Stegostoma tigrinum: one gene and its partner. The protein of the gene in region 1 purifies or fractionates together with the protein of each later gene. This does not show direct contact. Links are inferred from orthologs where the notes say so. Each region holds a gene or a part of one and is shown in the gene's direction. Other genes may lie near its edges.

Region 1 (7,496 bases):
AAAACACCAATGTGTGTTTTGTGATAAGATGTAAAAGATAGTGGTGAAATAAAGCATCCTTACCTCGTGGAAGCTACGCATTGTATTCTGATCACTTCTTGAGTTAGCCATTGTTATGCATTTTATAACTGACTTTTGACAGCAAAACATGTATGAGAGCCTTCCTCTAAATAGTTGTTTTTATTAACAATATTTTATTAATGATAAAACCTAATTCTAATTAACAGTGGTTGGGAAGGTGACTGTGGTGTTCCTACTTGACAGATTAATGTGCAAAGAATCACTGACCAAAGTAGTAAATGGTCAGAATAAAGGTAGAGCGCATGGAGACTTGAGAGTAAAAACCATCAGTTCATTCAGAATCCATGTTGCCATAGCCACTTGAACATTTGTATGCATATTGTAGTCTGGATCCGCAGTCATGATAGATGTTCCAGCATTCTTTCTGTCACATGGTGTGTGTTACAGGTTGTTGCTGAGAGGAACATACTGGATTAACTGAAGTGCACACGAGCCAAACTCTGCTGGGGGAGCAAGGCAGTGGTCAGCAGTGACTTCAAAGGAGCAGGCAGGCAAAGACATCTTTTGCACTGGGGATGGAACATAACAGTGTGATGAAGGTTCTGTGTTGGGAAGAGTATAGTGGTCAAGGCTGACAGGTGTCACAGGGAAGGGGGGATAGTGAGGTTGACAGTGAATACAATACTGGGAGGAATGAAGGGAAAATGAATGGGAAGATGTAATTCAGCCCCTCAAATCTCATCCATTCGATTAGAATATGCCTAACCTAGGCCTCTGTTCCATTTACTTTTTTTTGTTACTGTTTATATATATTAATCAGCCTATTTTGAAAATTAGTTAGAGCATTCATAGGCTTTAGACAGTGGGAGAGGAATTGAGGTTTAGTTTTCCAGCAGTCCTTAAGTAGAAAGACTGAAAGAACTGCAGATGCTGTAAATCAGGAACAGAAACAAAGTTGCTGGAAAAGCTCAGCAGGTCTGGCAGCATCTGCGAAGGGGAAAAAAAAAAGTTAACATTTTGGGTCGGGTGACCAGCTCTGAGGAAGTGTCATCGGACCAGAAACATTAACTTTTTTTTCCCCAACCTCACTGATGCTGCCAGACCTGCTGACCTTGATAACAAAGTGTGGGGCTGGATGAACAGCTGACCTTTTCCAGCAACTTTTTTGTTTTTTTTCCCTTAGGTAGAAAGAGTCTTTCCTGACTTCATTTCTAGCCTTGCTTTCATTGTAAGATTGCACTCCCTTTTTTTCCATTTCTTGCTATCTATCTTATTTCCTAATCTATTTCAAATATGTCTGCCTTAGTCATCTCTCAACTTTCTGATCTCCAGGAATACAAACCAAATTTATGCAATAAGTCCTCATAATTTAACCCCCATAAATTCCTTCATTTTGCTGTATCTGTTTAAAATTCTGTATAAACCTTTTTCTCAGCTGAACTTGGTATGCCCAATGATGAACTCCTGAGCAAGACTGTGTAACAATTGAAGCATAACTTTCTCATCTTTCTGTTCCTTTCCTTACCTTAGGTGTTTTGGGATAACATTCCATTAGATGTTGATTGACTTTTGACTTTTTTAAAAAAAGAGTAGCTTCTAATGATTTTTGTGTAGTAAACCCCACAAATCCTGCAGAGACGTCCTGGAGCTGAGATAACTGACCCATTTTTGTGTGCCAGGCATGACTCCAACCAGCAGAGTTTGCCCCCTAATAACTATTGTTTCCAGTTTTGCTCAGGCTCCTTTTTAATGCAGCCTTGATGTCAAGGGCTGCCACACTTGCCTCACCTGACGACAGGTTTGGAATATCCTGTCAACAGGTGGTTTGATAGCATAATGAAAGGTTGAGGTGTAAATACCACCTCATGTCATGTCTTTAATGTTAGGCAATTCCTCAGTATCAAAGTTGATTTACTTCCACTTTCATTCAGTGGTCCTGAGATTAAGTGCAAGGCACAGTCTGAAGACTACTGTAGGAGGGACAGGTTATGCTTGGAGGGTCTCAGGTGAGTAGTTTGGAGGTTTGTGCACTGTCTGATGCCATGACGCAACTTGAGCAGCACATCTTGAGAAAGAAACAAGAGTTTCCCATTGAATTTTCAGCAGGCCATGGACCTAAAAATGTTGATTCTATTTCTTTCCATCCTTGAATAGGCTAAATGGCAAAACATTGGAAGAGCCAGAGTAATAAAGATTTAAGAGAATTAAATGTTTTCTATGTATTTATACATATCAAGTAGAAGACAACCTGATGAAGTCGGAAGAAGAAATGAACTCTCTGCTTTGTTTTAAAAAGAAGTATAGAGTATAAAAATGAAGGGTTGTGCTAACTTTAGACAAAGCAGTTGTTTATGTTAGGAGCACAAAAGCTGATGTTTTGGGCCTAGATCCTTCTTCAGAAAAGGGAGAGGGTGAGATGGTTCTGAAATAAATAGGGAGAGGCGGGAGGCAGATCGAAGATGGATAGGTGGAGAGGAGACAGACAAGTTAAGGAGGTAGGGAGGGGACAGGTCAAAGGGTGGGATGAGGTTAGTAGGTAGGGGATGGGGATAGGTGAGAGGAAGAACAGGTTAGGGAGGTGGGGATGAGCTGGACTGGTTTTGGGATGCAGTGGGGCTGAGGGGGAGATTTTGAAACTTGTGAAATCCACATTGATACCATTGGGCTGCAGGGTTCCCAAGCAGAATGAGTTGCTATTCCTGCAATCTGTGGGTGGCATCATTGTGGCACTGCAGAAGGCCTAGGATGGACATATCATCTAAGGAATGGGAGGGGGAGTTGAAATGGTTCGGGACTGGGAGGTGCAGTTGTTTATTGCGAACCGAGCAGAGGTGTTCTGCAAAGCGGTCCCAAAGCCTCTGCTTGGTTTCCCCAATGTAGAGGAAGCCACACCGGGTACAATGGATACAGTATACCACATTGACTGATGTGCAGGTGAACCTCTGCTTAATATGGAAAGTCGTCTTTGGTACACTTGCCCCCATACCTCGTCCCTCACCCCCATCCCAGGCTCCATCTTTCTTTCCCACCCCCACGCACCCCCCCCCCCCACCAAAACTTGTCTGTCTCCTTTCCGCCTATCTTCTCTTTCCATCTTCAATCTGCTTCTCCCTATTTATTTCAGCTCTGCATTTCATCCACTTCCACATTTTGTAATTGCAGATGCTCCAGCATCTGCAGTTCCCATTATCTCTGATACTATATTACAACTAATTTTATGTTCCTTTTGGGACTAGTGTTAGAAGCATAGGGAAGGTGAGAACTTCATTAGAAGTAGGAGCAAAATTACTGCAGATGCTGGAATGTGTACCAGAAACACAAAAAGCTGGAGTTCACAGCAGGTCAGGCAGCATCCATGGAGAAAGCAAGCTAATGTTTGGAGTCTAGATGACACTTCATCAGCACCCAAAGCAAGTCTATTGTTGAAATACTAGACGTCCATAAGTATGCAGCTGATAATTGGCTGCAATGGAAATAAAATGTCATGGCAAATGTGTAGAGTTTAGTGATACGTTCTGTGAATTCTACGGTGGGATGGGTCAAATTGTGAATGACTAAGATTCATCTCCAGGCTTTAAAATCACAAAATTTACTAAGGTTTGTAAGTTTGTTAGCAGTTTGTTGTGGACGGACAGCATATGTTACTGTTCTAACACATATGATTTTGGGCACTGACAGCATGTATACAAGACAAAACACTGTCTTTCCCCATCATCTAGCCTCTTGGTAAATTGGTTATCGTGGTACATGAAAGTGTATTAACGTGCCCTGCTAAACATTTCTGGGGACATGATAGCTACTGGTCATGTCACTGGGGAAACTACTGCCCACTCAGTGTCACTGCCAAAAAGCCTCCACCTCATAGTGTGTTTCGTGTACAGAATGGGGTGTTCAGATAGATGGGGAAGTTGCTCCAAACCAGTCCATAGTCTTTGCAATACTAAAGACAAGAGTGATGTTTGGGACCTGTGATATACTGTCCTAAAATACTTTAATCCGGTGATTCTCCACAGCTCATTTTGATGCCTGATATTGGTTATCTACTAGGTCATTCATCATAGACCCACTTTCCCAATCCTTTTCAATTTAATTTTGAAAATGTGATTAAGTCCAGCCTCCTTACACTCTAACACTGATGTATGTATCCCACCCATACGACATTCCTGGTCGAGTTTTTGCCAATGCCAGACATTACGAATTCCATGAGGAACCTCCAATTCCGAGTTCCGATTCTATTTTTAAAACTAAATTTTCGTACGAAATTTGCTCCTCATGGAGAGCAGCAGTACAGAATGGGTTGTTACAGGTAACTCACACGGTTACAAAGCAGCGCAACGGCGCTACGTGGCGAGCGGTCGGGCTGAGGCGAGGGTTGGCGCTGCGCTGGGAGGACCGAACTCAGGCAGTGGAGATGGGCGGCGCTGCAGTGGGAGGACCACAGTCGGGTGGCGTGGCTCTAGGAGGACCAGTGCCTTGTGGCGCTGTGCTGGGAGGACCCAGGGTCAAGCAGTGGCGACGGGTGGCGCTAGGTTGGCATGAGCCGGCGTTTCCAGGTGAGTGTTAGGTGGGATATTGGAGTTATTTTTGTGGATGTAAAGAGGGGATGGAGCTTTATGGGTTACGTAAGAGACTAATCGGACACTGGTGCTCCCTTTCTGAGGAACGAAAGGCTACCGGTGCTCCAGATACATGAGGGAGGCCAAGGGAAAGCAAAATCCAGCGGGAGGCTGGAAAAACTGAACTCCAACAGAAAACGCTGGAAATATTTAGTCACTCTGGAAGCAGTTTCAGTCCGGCTCCTTTTTAAACAGAAAAACCAGAGAGCTGCACTTTTCCCGATGAGAGACTCCGAACGGGCCGTTTCAGAAATTCGGGAGCCACACTTGCATTCTGACAGGGGCCTGTTAGAGTTGGCCTGACAATGGTTTGGGAAGTATGGAGGGTGGAATGGTCAGTGACTGTGGGGGTAGGACACTGGAGGAGGGGGTGTGGGGAGAGGACAGTGTGGGGTGGACAGTGGGAGTGGGGTGAGGACAGTGTGGGGTGGACAGTGGGAGTGGGGTGAGGACAGTGGGGGGTAGGCAGTGGGAGTGGGGTGGACAGCAGGTGTGGGGTGAGGACAGTGTGTGGTGGACAGTGGGTGTGGGGTGAGGACAGTGTGTGGTGGACAGTGGGTGTGGGGTGAGGACAGTGTGGGGTGGGCAGTGGGTGTGGGGTGGGCAGTGGGAGTGGGGTGAGGACAGTGTGGGTGGACAGTGGGAGTGGGGTGAGGACAGTGTGGGGTGGGCAGTGGGTGTGGGGGTAGGACGGAGTGGGGGTGGGCAGGGAGTGGGGTTAGGACGGAGTGGGGTGAGGACAGTGTGGGTGGGCAGTGGGAGTGGGGTGAGGACGGTGTGGGGTGGGCAGTGGGTGTGGGCTGAGGACGGTGTGGGGTGGGTGTGGGGTGAGGACGGTGGGGTGGGGGTGGGCAGTGGGTGTGGGGGTAGGATGGAGTGGGGGTGGGCAGTGGGTGTGGGGGTAGGATGGAGTGGGGGTGGGGTGGGGTGAGGACTGTGGGGTGGACAGTGGGTGTGGGGTGAGGACGGCGCGGGGGGTGGACAGTGGGTGTGGGGGTGGGACGGCGCGGGGGTGGATAGTGGGTGTGGGGGTGGACAGTGGAGGAGGGACTGTGGTGGACAGTGGGTGTGGTGGTAGGATAGTGTGGGATGGACAGTGGAGGAGGAGCTGTGAGTGTAGGACAGTGGAGGAGGGGCTGTGGGGTGGACAGTCTGGGGGAGGGAGGGTTGTGTGGGTAGGCAAACCACGCTCCCTTTCCCAGAGTAGTATTCTCAAGTTTTTTTTAAAAAAAAGGTCCTGCATCACAGGTACTCACCTTGCCGACTGCTATGTGAGCTTAGTGTGAAGTTAGTGTGCCATGAGGGTAGGTTAAGATCATAAGAAATGGGAACAGGAGTGAGCCATTTGCCCAGAGCCTACTTCACCATTCAATAAAACCACAGTTGATCGGACATTCCTGATGTCCATTTCCTGCCCTTTCCCTGTAACCCTGAATTCCCCAACTGATGAAGAATTTATCTCTCTGTCTTCAATTCCAGATGAGTGGATTGTTTAGATCAGGGTGAGTGGGTGGAATATTGGGTTCAGCAGTGCACAGTTGAGAAGGAAAGTGTAGTCAGGCCCAGGTAGGGGCAAAAGAATATGGAGTGGGGAAGGGGCTCGGGTCTGGGAAGCAGGAGTTTCGTAGGTTTGGGGTCAGGGGCTCAGGGAGATGGAGTGCTGATTTTTTTTTGGGGTCTTGTGGAGGTATGGTTTACCCAGTCATCATTCCTTAGGCCAGCTTTTAACTCCAGATTTATTAATGGAAATTAAATTCAATCACTGCTGTGGTGGGATTTGAATCTATATACACTAAGCATTAGTCTGGGCCTCTGGATTGTGAGCGTACTAAAACAAAAATTGCTGGAGGTCTGGTAGGAATTGTGGAGAGGAAACAAAATCAAGTGAACCTTCTTCAGAAACATCTAGATTACTAGTCTAATGACATTGCCACTGTACCACCATCTTCCCTCAATCCAGAAATTCACCAAAGATCCTTAGGCAGTACCTTACAAATCCACAATCACTTCAGTCTAGAACAACAAGGGCAGCAGATACATGGGAACACCACCAACTGCAGGTTCCCCTCGAAGCCACTAACCATCCTGACTTGGAAATAGATCAAAATTCCTTCAGTATTGCTGGGTCAGAATCCTGGAATTCTGCCCCTAATGGCATTGTGGATCAAAATCCTAGAATTCCCTTCCTAATGGCATTGTGGGTCAACCTACAGCAGGTGGACTGCAGCTCATCACCACCTTCTCAAGGCCAACTAGGGATGGGCAGTGAATGCTGGCCCACCGGCAATGCCCAAAACCCACAAGGAAATATGTTTTTAAAAAGGTTTTAGAGTAGATTTGTAGCTCAGGTTGTGGTTGGTTGGCTCGCCAAGCTGGTTCGTTGTCCTGCATAAGTTTCTTTAGCCTGCTGGGTAACATCATTAGTGCAGCTTCTGTTAAAGTGCTGTTGTTTTCCCACCTGTAATTTAAACTCTGGTGTCTGTTGAGCTGGATTACCTCACTTCTGGCTTTCCTTCGCAGTGAAGTTTATACCCTGTACGGAGATATTTAAAAATTAAAATACACAAAAATCTGAGAAGCCTTCACACGTTAGATGCTGAAAGCATGTATTGCTCGTATGAGAGATTAGAAGTGGAAGCATGATTTTAAAAATAAGGAGCCTGCCATTTAAACTAAAATGAGGAAAAATTTTTTGGTGACTCATGAATCTGACGAATCCTCTTCCGCAGAGAGTGGAGAGGGTAGGGTCATGGAACGTTTTTCAGGCAGAAGTTGGTAGATTCTTGTCTAATGTGAGAGTCTAAGGGTGTCAGGGAGTGGCAGGAATAGTGTTGAGGTCACGATCAAATCAACCATGAT
Region 2 (7,309 bases), on another chromosome or scaffold:
GCAATCCAAATAGATCATATCCAAAGGCTGTCCTTTGTCTAACTGCTCCTTACTTCTCAAAGAATTCTAACAGATTTGTCAGGCATGACCTCCCCTTGTCAAAGTTGTACTGACTTAGCCCAATTTTACATGCATTTCCAAGTCAGGAATCTTATCATCAGCAATATCATCTTTTGTACTGGATTCTCAGATCTTCTCAGTGGCTGAGATCAGGCTAACTGCCAATGCTTTCCTGTTGTTTGCTTCCTTTCTTAAACATAGGAATTACATTAACCATTTTCCAGTACTTTGAGAGTCTCCCTGGCTGCAGTGATTCCTGAATGATCACCACAAATGCCACTGCAATCTCCTTCAGATCTCTGGGGTGTAGTCTATCTGGTCCAGATGATTTATCAACCTTGCAGCTTCCTCAGTATTTTCTCCTTGGTGGTGACTACTAAACTCACTTGGGTACTGACTCTTGAAGTTTTGGTATGCCACTGGTTTCTTCCCTGATCAAAACTGATGCAAAGTATCTGTTCACTTCCTCCACCATTTCTTTGTTCCCCATTACCACTTCTCTGGCCTCATTTGCCAGGTCTCCACTTTCCACTCTTGTCTCTTACAGTTTAGATTTCTAAAACAAATTCTTGTAATCTTACTCTCATATTTCATCTTCTCTTGCCTCCTTCCTGCCACCCCCATATTGCTTTTACAGTTGGCTCTGCTGGTTTTTAAAAGTCCCCCCAATCATGTTCATCTAATTGTGTACTTTTTGTTTTGCTTTTAATCTGTCCCTGATGTCTCTTGTCAGCCATAGTTGCCTTGTCCTCCCCTTAGTCCTTTTCTTCCTTGGGATGAATTTTTGCTATGTCTCCCAAATTACTACCAGAAACTCCTGCCCTTGCTGCTCTGCTGTCTACCCTACTCGACTGCCCTTCCAATCAACTCCAGCCAGCTCCTCCCTCATCTCTATAGTTATCTATACTCAATTGTAATACAATTATGTCTGATTCCAGCTTCTCCTCCTCAAACTGCAGGGTGAATTCTATCATATAATGGTCACTACCTCCCCAGGAGTTCCTTACCTTTAGCTCCTAAATCAAGTTTGCCTCATTACACATAACCAAATCCAGAATTGCCTGCTCCATAGTAGGCTGTACCACAAGTTGCTCCAAAAAAAATCTCATAGACGTTCCTGGAATTCCTTTTCTTGAGATCTGCCACCAATCTGATTTTTTTTTCCAGTCCACCTGCACACAAGTTCCCTGTGATTATTATAATACAGTTTTTCTTACATGTCTTTTCCATCTTCTGATTTATTTTCTTCCCCACATCCTGACTGCTAGCAGCCCTGTACGTGACTCCTTTCAGCTGGGGTGAGAGTGGGGCGTTCCTTTTGTATTTCCTCACTCTACTACCCAGATCTATGACGCTTCTTGCTATTGATTTTGATTTTATTTGTTACTAACAAGGCAACCTCGCCCCATCTGCCTGCCCTTTCGATAGTGCCATGTACCTTTGGATATTTAGTTCCCAGCCCTGACTACCTTGCATCCCTGTGATACCCACAACAATGTCCTGCCAATTTTGATTGCACTCTTGAGTTCATTTAGATTATTTTGTATGCTGTGTGCATTTAAGTTGGCACCCTCAGTCCTGAGTTGACTGCCTCCCTCTCATAGTTGTCCCCTCACCTGCTGTGCCCAAAATTAAGATTCCTGACTCTTTCCATACACCGTCCTGATGCACATTTTGGAAACTGTAATAACCTCTGCTGAGACCCCCTCCCGCCTTCCAACTTTTAACTCTTTCCATAATTTTCCATCCAACTGAACCCATCCCCCCCACTATTTAAAACCTTATTAATAGCCCTAACTATGCAATTTGCCAGCAGAGCCAACTCTAGTTGTTGCTGGAAAGTACTACATGCATGGTTTAGAGTGACAGTCTTCTCTTGTTGCCTTATCGTGGATCTGCTAAACGTTATCACAAATTTCATGACAAAATATAAGAATCTTGAATTCCTCTTTGAAAGTGGCAAGCTCATTGAATTATTGAGCTAGAATATGATTTTAAGCAGCTGGATATGCACAGCATGAATTGCCTAATTCTTCCCACCCCACCCTGTCCTGAAGAACAGTCACAGGATTCAAACTGTTAACACTCCTCTTTCTCTTCGCATAATGCTGTTGGACTTGCTGAGTTCCTCCAGTAATCTGTTATTGTACCACCAATTTAAAGCCCCCCGAAACTTTCCTCATCGGTCATTGAATGAGACGGCCACCATCAAATTTGTACCCACGTTTTCTGTTAACGGAATCGGACCCATTAGTCCAACTCATGCATGCTGACCAATTTACCCAAACTAAACTAGCCCCACTTGCCTGTATTTGACCATATCCCTCTTAACCTTCCCAATTTGTGCACCTGTCCAAATGTCTTTTAAATGGATGTGAGTTTGCTCGCTGGGCTGGAAGGTTCGTTTTCAGACGTTTCATCACCATTCTAGGTAACATCATCAGTGAGCCTCCAATGAAGCGCTGGTGTTATGTCCCGCTTTCTGTTTATCTGGTTAGGTTTCCTTGGGATAAATAGAATCTTCCTTGGGATTAACCAGATAAATAGAAAGCGGGACATAACACCAGCGCTTCGTCGGAGGCTCACTGATGATGTTACCTAGAATGGTGATGAAACGTCTGAAAACAAACCTTCCAGCTCAGCGAGCAAACTCACATCCAGAACCTCAACCTGAGCTGCGAATCTTCTCAAAACTCGCTGTCTTTTAAATGTTGTTACTCTACCTGCATCTTCCACTTCCTGTGGCAGTTTACTCCAGATGCAAACCACTGTCTGTGTGGAAAAAGTTGCCCCTCAGGTCCCTTTTAAATCTTCCTCCTCTCTCCTTGAAAATATGTTTCCTAGTTTCAAATTCCCTCACCCTACGAAAAAAAACTTTTGCTATTCACCTTGTCTATGCCCATCGTGATTTTATAAACTTCTATCATGTTACCCCTAATCTCTACGCTCCAGTGAAAAATGGCATAACATATTCAGTCTGTCCTTTATAACTCAAATCCTCCAGACCCAGCATCATCCTGGTAAATATTTTCTGCACCCTCTCCAATTTAATAATACCCTTCTTATAGCAGGGTGACCAGAACTGTACACAGTACTCAAGTGGCCTCACCAACATCTTGTACAAAACACATGACATCCCTGTACCCAGTGGTCTGAGCAAGGAAGGCAAGCATGCGAAACGCCGTCTTAACTACCTGTGATGCAACTCAGAATTATCTACCTGAACCCCTAGGTTTTTGTTCAACAACACTACCCAGGACCCTACCATTAACTGTATAAGTCCAGCCCTTCTTCGTTTTACCAAAATGCAAAACCTTGTATTTATGCAAATTAAAACCCACCTCCACTGCTCAACTCTTTTGGTGCAATGGATCAAAATCCCTTTTGTAATCTTAGAAAACCTTCTTCACTGTTGACTATCCCATCCAATTTTGGTGTTATCTGCAAACTTTCTAACTCTGCCTCAAATTCTCATCCCAAATCATTCATACTAATGACAGACAACAGTAAACCCAGCACTGAGTCCTGTGAAACACCGCTAGTCACAGGCCTCCAGTGCAAAAAAAAAAGCCCTCCTCCACCACCCCCTCTCTCCTAATATCAAGCAAATTTTCTATCTAGTTGTCAAGCTGTCCTTGAATCCCAAGTGTTCCAACTTTACTAATCGGTCTACTCTGCAAAACCTAGTTAGTAAAGTTCACATAGACAACATCCACTGCACTGTTGTGATCAATCTTTTTGGTTATGCCCACAAAAACCTTAATCAAATTTGTGAGACACAATTTCCCAAGCACAAAGCTACGCTGACTATCCCTAGTCAGTCCTTGCCTCTCCAAACACATGTAAATGCGATTTCTCAGGATCCCCTCCAACATTTACCGATGTCAGACTTACAGCTATGTAGTTCCCAGGCTTCTCATGTTTGTTGTCAATCACACAGCTGAAGGAGTTCTATATATCCAGCCCCTTATTGCAACATGAATGAAAGGTCTCCGGTAATGACTGCTCCTCTTGGGCATTGCCAGCTGCTGCCCCAAGCTTTAATGCCTCCCTTAGGACGTAGCTCTGGACTTTGGAATGAGCCAAATTGCAGAGGACAATTTTTTTGAATTGGAAGACCAATGCATTTCGGGCAGACTAAAGAGCTTCTTTCACCGAGTCAGTGATCCTCCAAGTGCTATTGATGTTCTTGGTGTACATTCCAGAGAACAGTCTGTGGAGCACTGGGTCTTTCATTGTGGAGCTGGTTAGGATGAACCTCAAAAGCAGCCAAATCTCCATCCGATCACACCTTCTACTGTGTACAGTTCTGATCATACCTAAGGAAGAATATACTTGCCTGAGAGTGAGTACACTGAAATTTCTTACATGAGGGAATTGTCCTAAGGAGTAATTAAGTAATAGACCTCTGTGGCCTAATGTTTAGAAGGGTGAGAGTTATATAAATGTAACACAAAAGGGACTTGATGGTGTATATGCTGGGAGGATAGTTCCCTTTGTGAGGTGGCCAGAACCAGGAGTGATAGTCTCAGAGTAAGGAATTAGCCATTTAGGATTGAGATAAAGGAGAAATTATCCACTCTTGGCATTATTATTCTTTTTAACTCTCTACTGCAGATGTCCAATCACTGAGGTATTCAAGACAGTTTGATCCATTTTTTTGGTATTCTGGGACTTGGATGGATGGTGCTGGAAGGTGGAGCAGAGATAGATCGGCCATGATCTTACTGAAGCTGGCACAGAGACCCAGCAGCCTACTGCTATTTATATTTCATAAATTTCTCAAACCAAAAACAATGCTTTACTGACAATGCCTGTGTCTCTGTCCTTGACTGGCTCCTTGGGCTGAGCGGGAAACGTAAAGCCTTGCAGATTACTTGACTTTTATGATCTTGGGGCTATCTAGTTATTGTAACCTATTGGTTAAACCATTCCTTTGAGTGAATGCTACCCATATAATTGTGTTTAAAAAGCAACTTCAATAAAATTCATTTAAAATGATTTTCTGAAGAAGGGTCCTAACCCAAACATCAGCTTTCCTGCTCCTCTGATGCTGCCTGGCCTGCTATGTTGCTCCAGCTTTGGCAGTTCTTACTATCTCTCAATAAAATTCGTTATTCTTTTATAAAAATGTAGCTAGTCTGATACACAAATGATCACAAAATCTCCCCATCTAATTAATTAGAGTATTTTTTGTAGTCCTTGTTCCTGTGATATTAGCGACTTGTCATATCTCTGTTACCCATCTAGACGAATCTTTTTGGATACATTTTTTCCATTGTGAACTTTGACTTGGTGTACAAGGGAAATTTGATTGTGTATCGTTTGGAATACGATTCATGGATTGATCATTGGCTTTCTGTTCCCTTGCAGTCATCTCGCAGCTCACAGGCAGCGGCAGCTACTGCTCCTGCAGCACAAGCAGTGTCTCGCCTTAAAAAGTTTGCGATTTACAGGTGGAATCCAGATAAGCCTGGTGACAAGCCTCGAATGCAAACCTATGAGATTGATCTAAATGCGTAAGTGTTCCAAGGGGAAATGCTACAGGGTATGCATTTGATCGCACTGGTCAGACTTTTACTGATTTAAATTTTACTGCAGTATGCCCTCTTTATTATAGTACTACTTCGGATAGAAGGATTTTGATTGATTGTTTTCAAGCAGAGGTAAAATGGTGAAGTGCAGTGATGAAATTGGAAAAGACCTGCTGACCTGTCAGGCCCACACCTCGGTAGTCCATAAGCACACTCTCCCAAGTGTAGTTAAACTTGGGAGTAAGATGAATGACCAGAGCAAAAACTACTAAGATCTCGAAACACTCTGGCTCCCCCGTGCCATTGGCAACACTTTGAGAAATGGGTCTAATATTACAGTCTATGTTCATTTCCTGATTATTTGTAATCTGGGAACTTTCCCCTCTTCCAGCAACAAAGGAGTAGCTGTCTTCCTTATAGTCCTTCTGTTTTACTTCTGTATTCACCTAAAAGTCTCATTACAGCAAAGATTGAACAGATGTTTTCTGGAAATGTATTCAGTGTGTGAAACTTTCTCAGTCCTACACCTGTCTATCTCTGGCATCTTCTACTTACTTCACCAAACAACTCTTGTGTTTCTGGCCTTTTACGATGTAAACTTTCAAATTTCCCTCCTGCAACATTGTTGACAATCCAACTCTTGCTCCTTTATTTAAGATGGACTTAAAACTTGGCTGTTTGAAGAATTGATCAGAATCCTAATATCTTCTTTGATTCAGACTTTGTGTTAGTCTGTTTAAGCTGCTGTGAAGTGCTTTGGGACTTGTAACTATACTAAAGATAATATACAAATACAATCTGCATTTGAGAGAATTGAAACTGATATTTCAAACTGTTGTGACACTACATATGTAGATGTGGTCCGATGGTACTAGACGCTCTTATCAAGATCAAGAATGAAGTGGACTCCACACTGACATTCCGAAGATCTTGCAGGGAAGGTGAGTGGTATTGTATATGAGTGATATAGTGACAGTGACAGATCAATGTCTGCATTTCTGATGAATCATTACAGTCTCGCATCTGTGAACATTAGTCAGGCATTAAGTGAGGTAAGAGTGTATATATCCAGATGTTTGTCCCATTTTTAAACTAGCCATCACTATAATTATGTGCCTAGATGTGGAGAGTGACAGAAAACCTTTTTATCACTGACCAGTAAATCTCAGACATTTGCAATGCCACTGTGGTGTCACCAGCTGTTTCAATGTTCCTTTGAAGGTTGTAGTTTCTTCTTGAAAGTATCCAAGCATGAATTGGTATTTATGACTGGCTTTTACTGTCACTGCCTATGCCTGCATCCACAAGGCTCAAATGTCCAATGAGTCTGCAACCAAGAATTTATTTTGTCGTTTCTTCATTGTTAGCCAGTGCTGTGGGATCACAACTGCTGGCTCTGTGACAGACGGACATGACCATCTTTGGAGTTTGTATGTCACTGAGAATCTATGACAATCATTTTATAAAGCAAAATTTTGAAAAATTGTAATCTATTATGTGCAAGGATTATGACACAGTCAAAATCAGACCTAGCTTATTGTCAAGCGAATTTAATGATGTCCATGTAATTTAAAAAAATGAAGGGTCACAGATCAGAGAAACTAAGGCAGCAACATTTTGGGAAAGGATGGTAATACTTTTCAAATGCTTGGAAGTGGGAAATGCTAGGATTGTGGAGGATCTTCTAAATTTGGCAACAGCATTAAATTCACCAG

Evidence for each region.
Region 2: the proteins of sdhaf1 (region 1) and sdhb purify together in Homo sapiens (co-immunoprecipitation; 3 studies listed by BioGRID and IntAct, with this or other methods). This does not show direct contact. The link is inferred for Stegostoma tigrinum from reciprocal best matches to the Homo sapiens genes SDHAF1 and SDHB.

The regions. Positions count from the first base shown.
Region 1 is NC_081392.1:9,598,506-9,606,001, forward strand, and holds the start of sdhaf1 (succinate dehydrogenase assembly factor 1, mitochondrial), read left to right. Parts: upstream 1-4,489; 5' UTR 4,490-4,574; intron 4,575-7,496.
Region 2 is NC_081381.1:32,415,405-32,422,713, reverse strand, and holds the start of sdhb (succinate dehydrogenase [ubiquinone] iron-sulfur subunit, mitochondrial), read left to right. Parts: upstream 1-4,288; 5' UTR 4,289-4,312; coding exon 4,313-4,405; intron 4,406-5,433; coding exon 5,434-5,579; intron 5,580-6,449; coding exon 6,450-6,535; intron 6,536-7,309. UniProt on the Homo sapiens protein: Iron-sulfur protein (IP) subunit of the succinate dehydrogenase complex (mitochondrial respiratory chain complex II), responsible for transferring electrons from succinate to ubiquinone (coenzyme Q).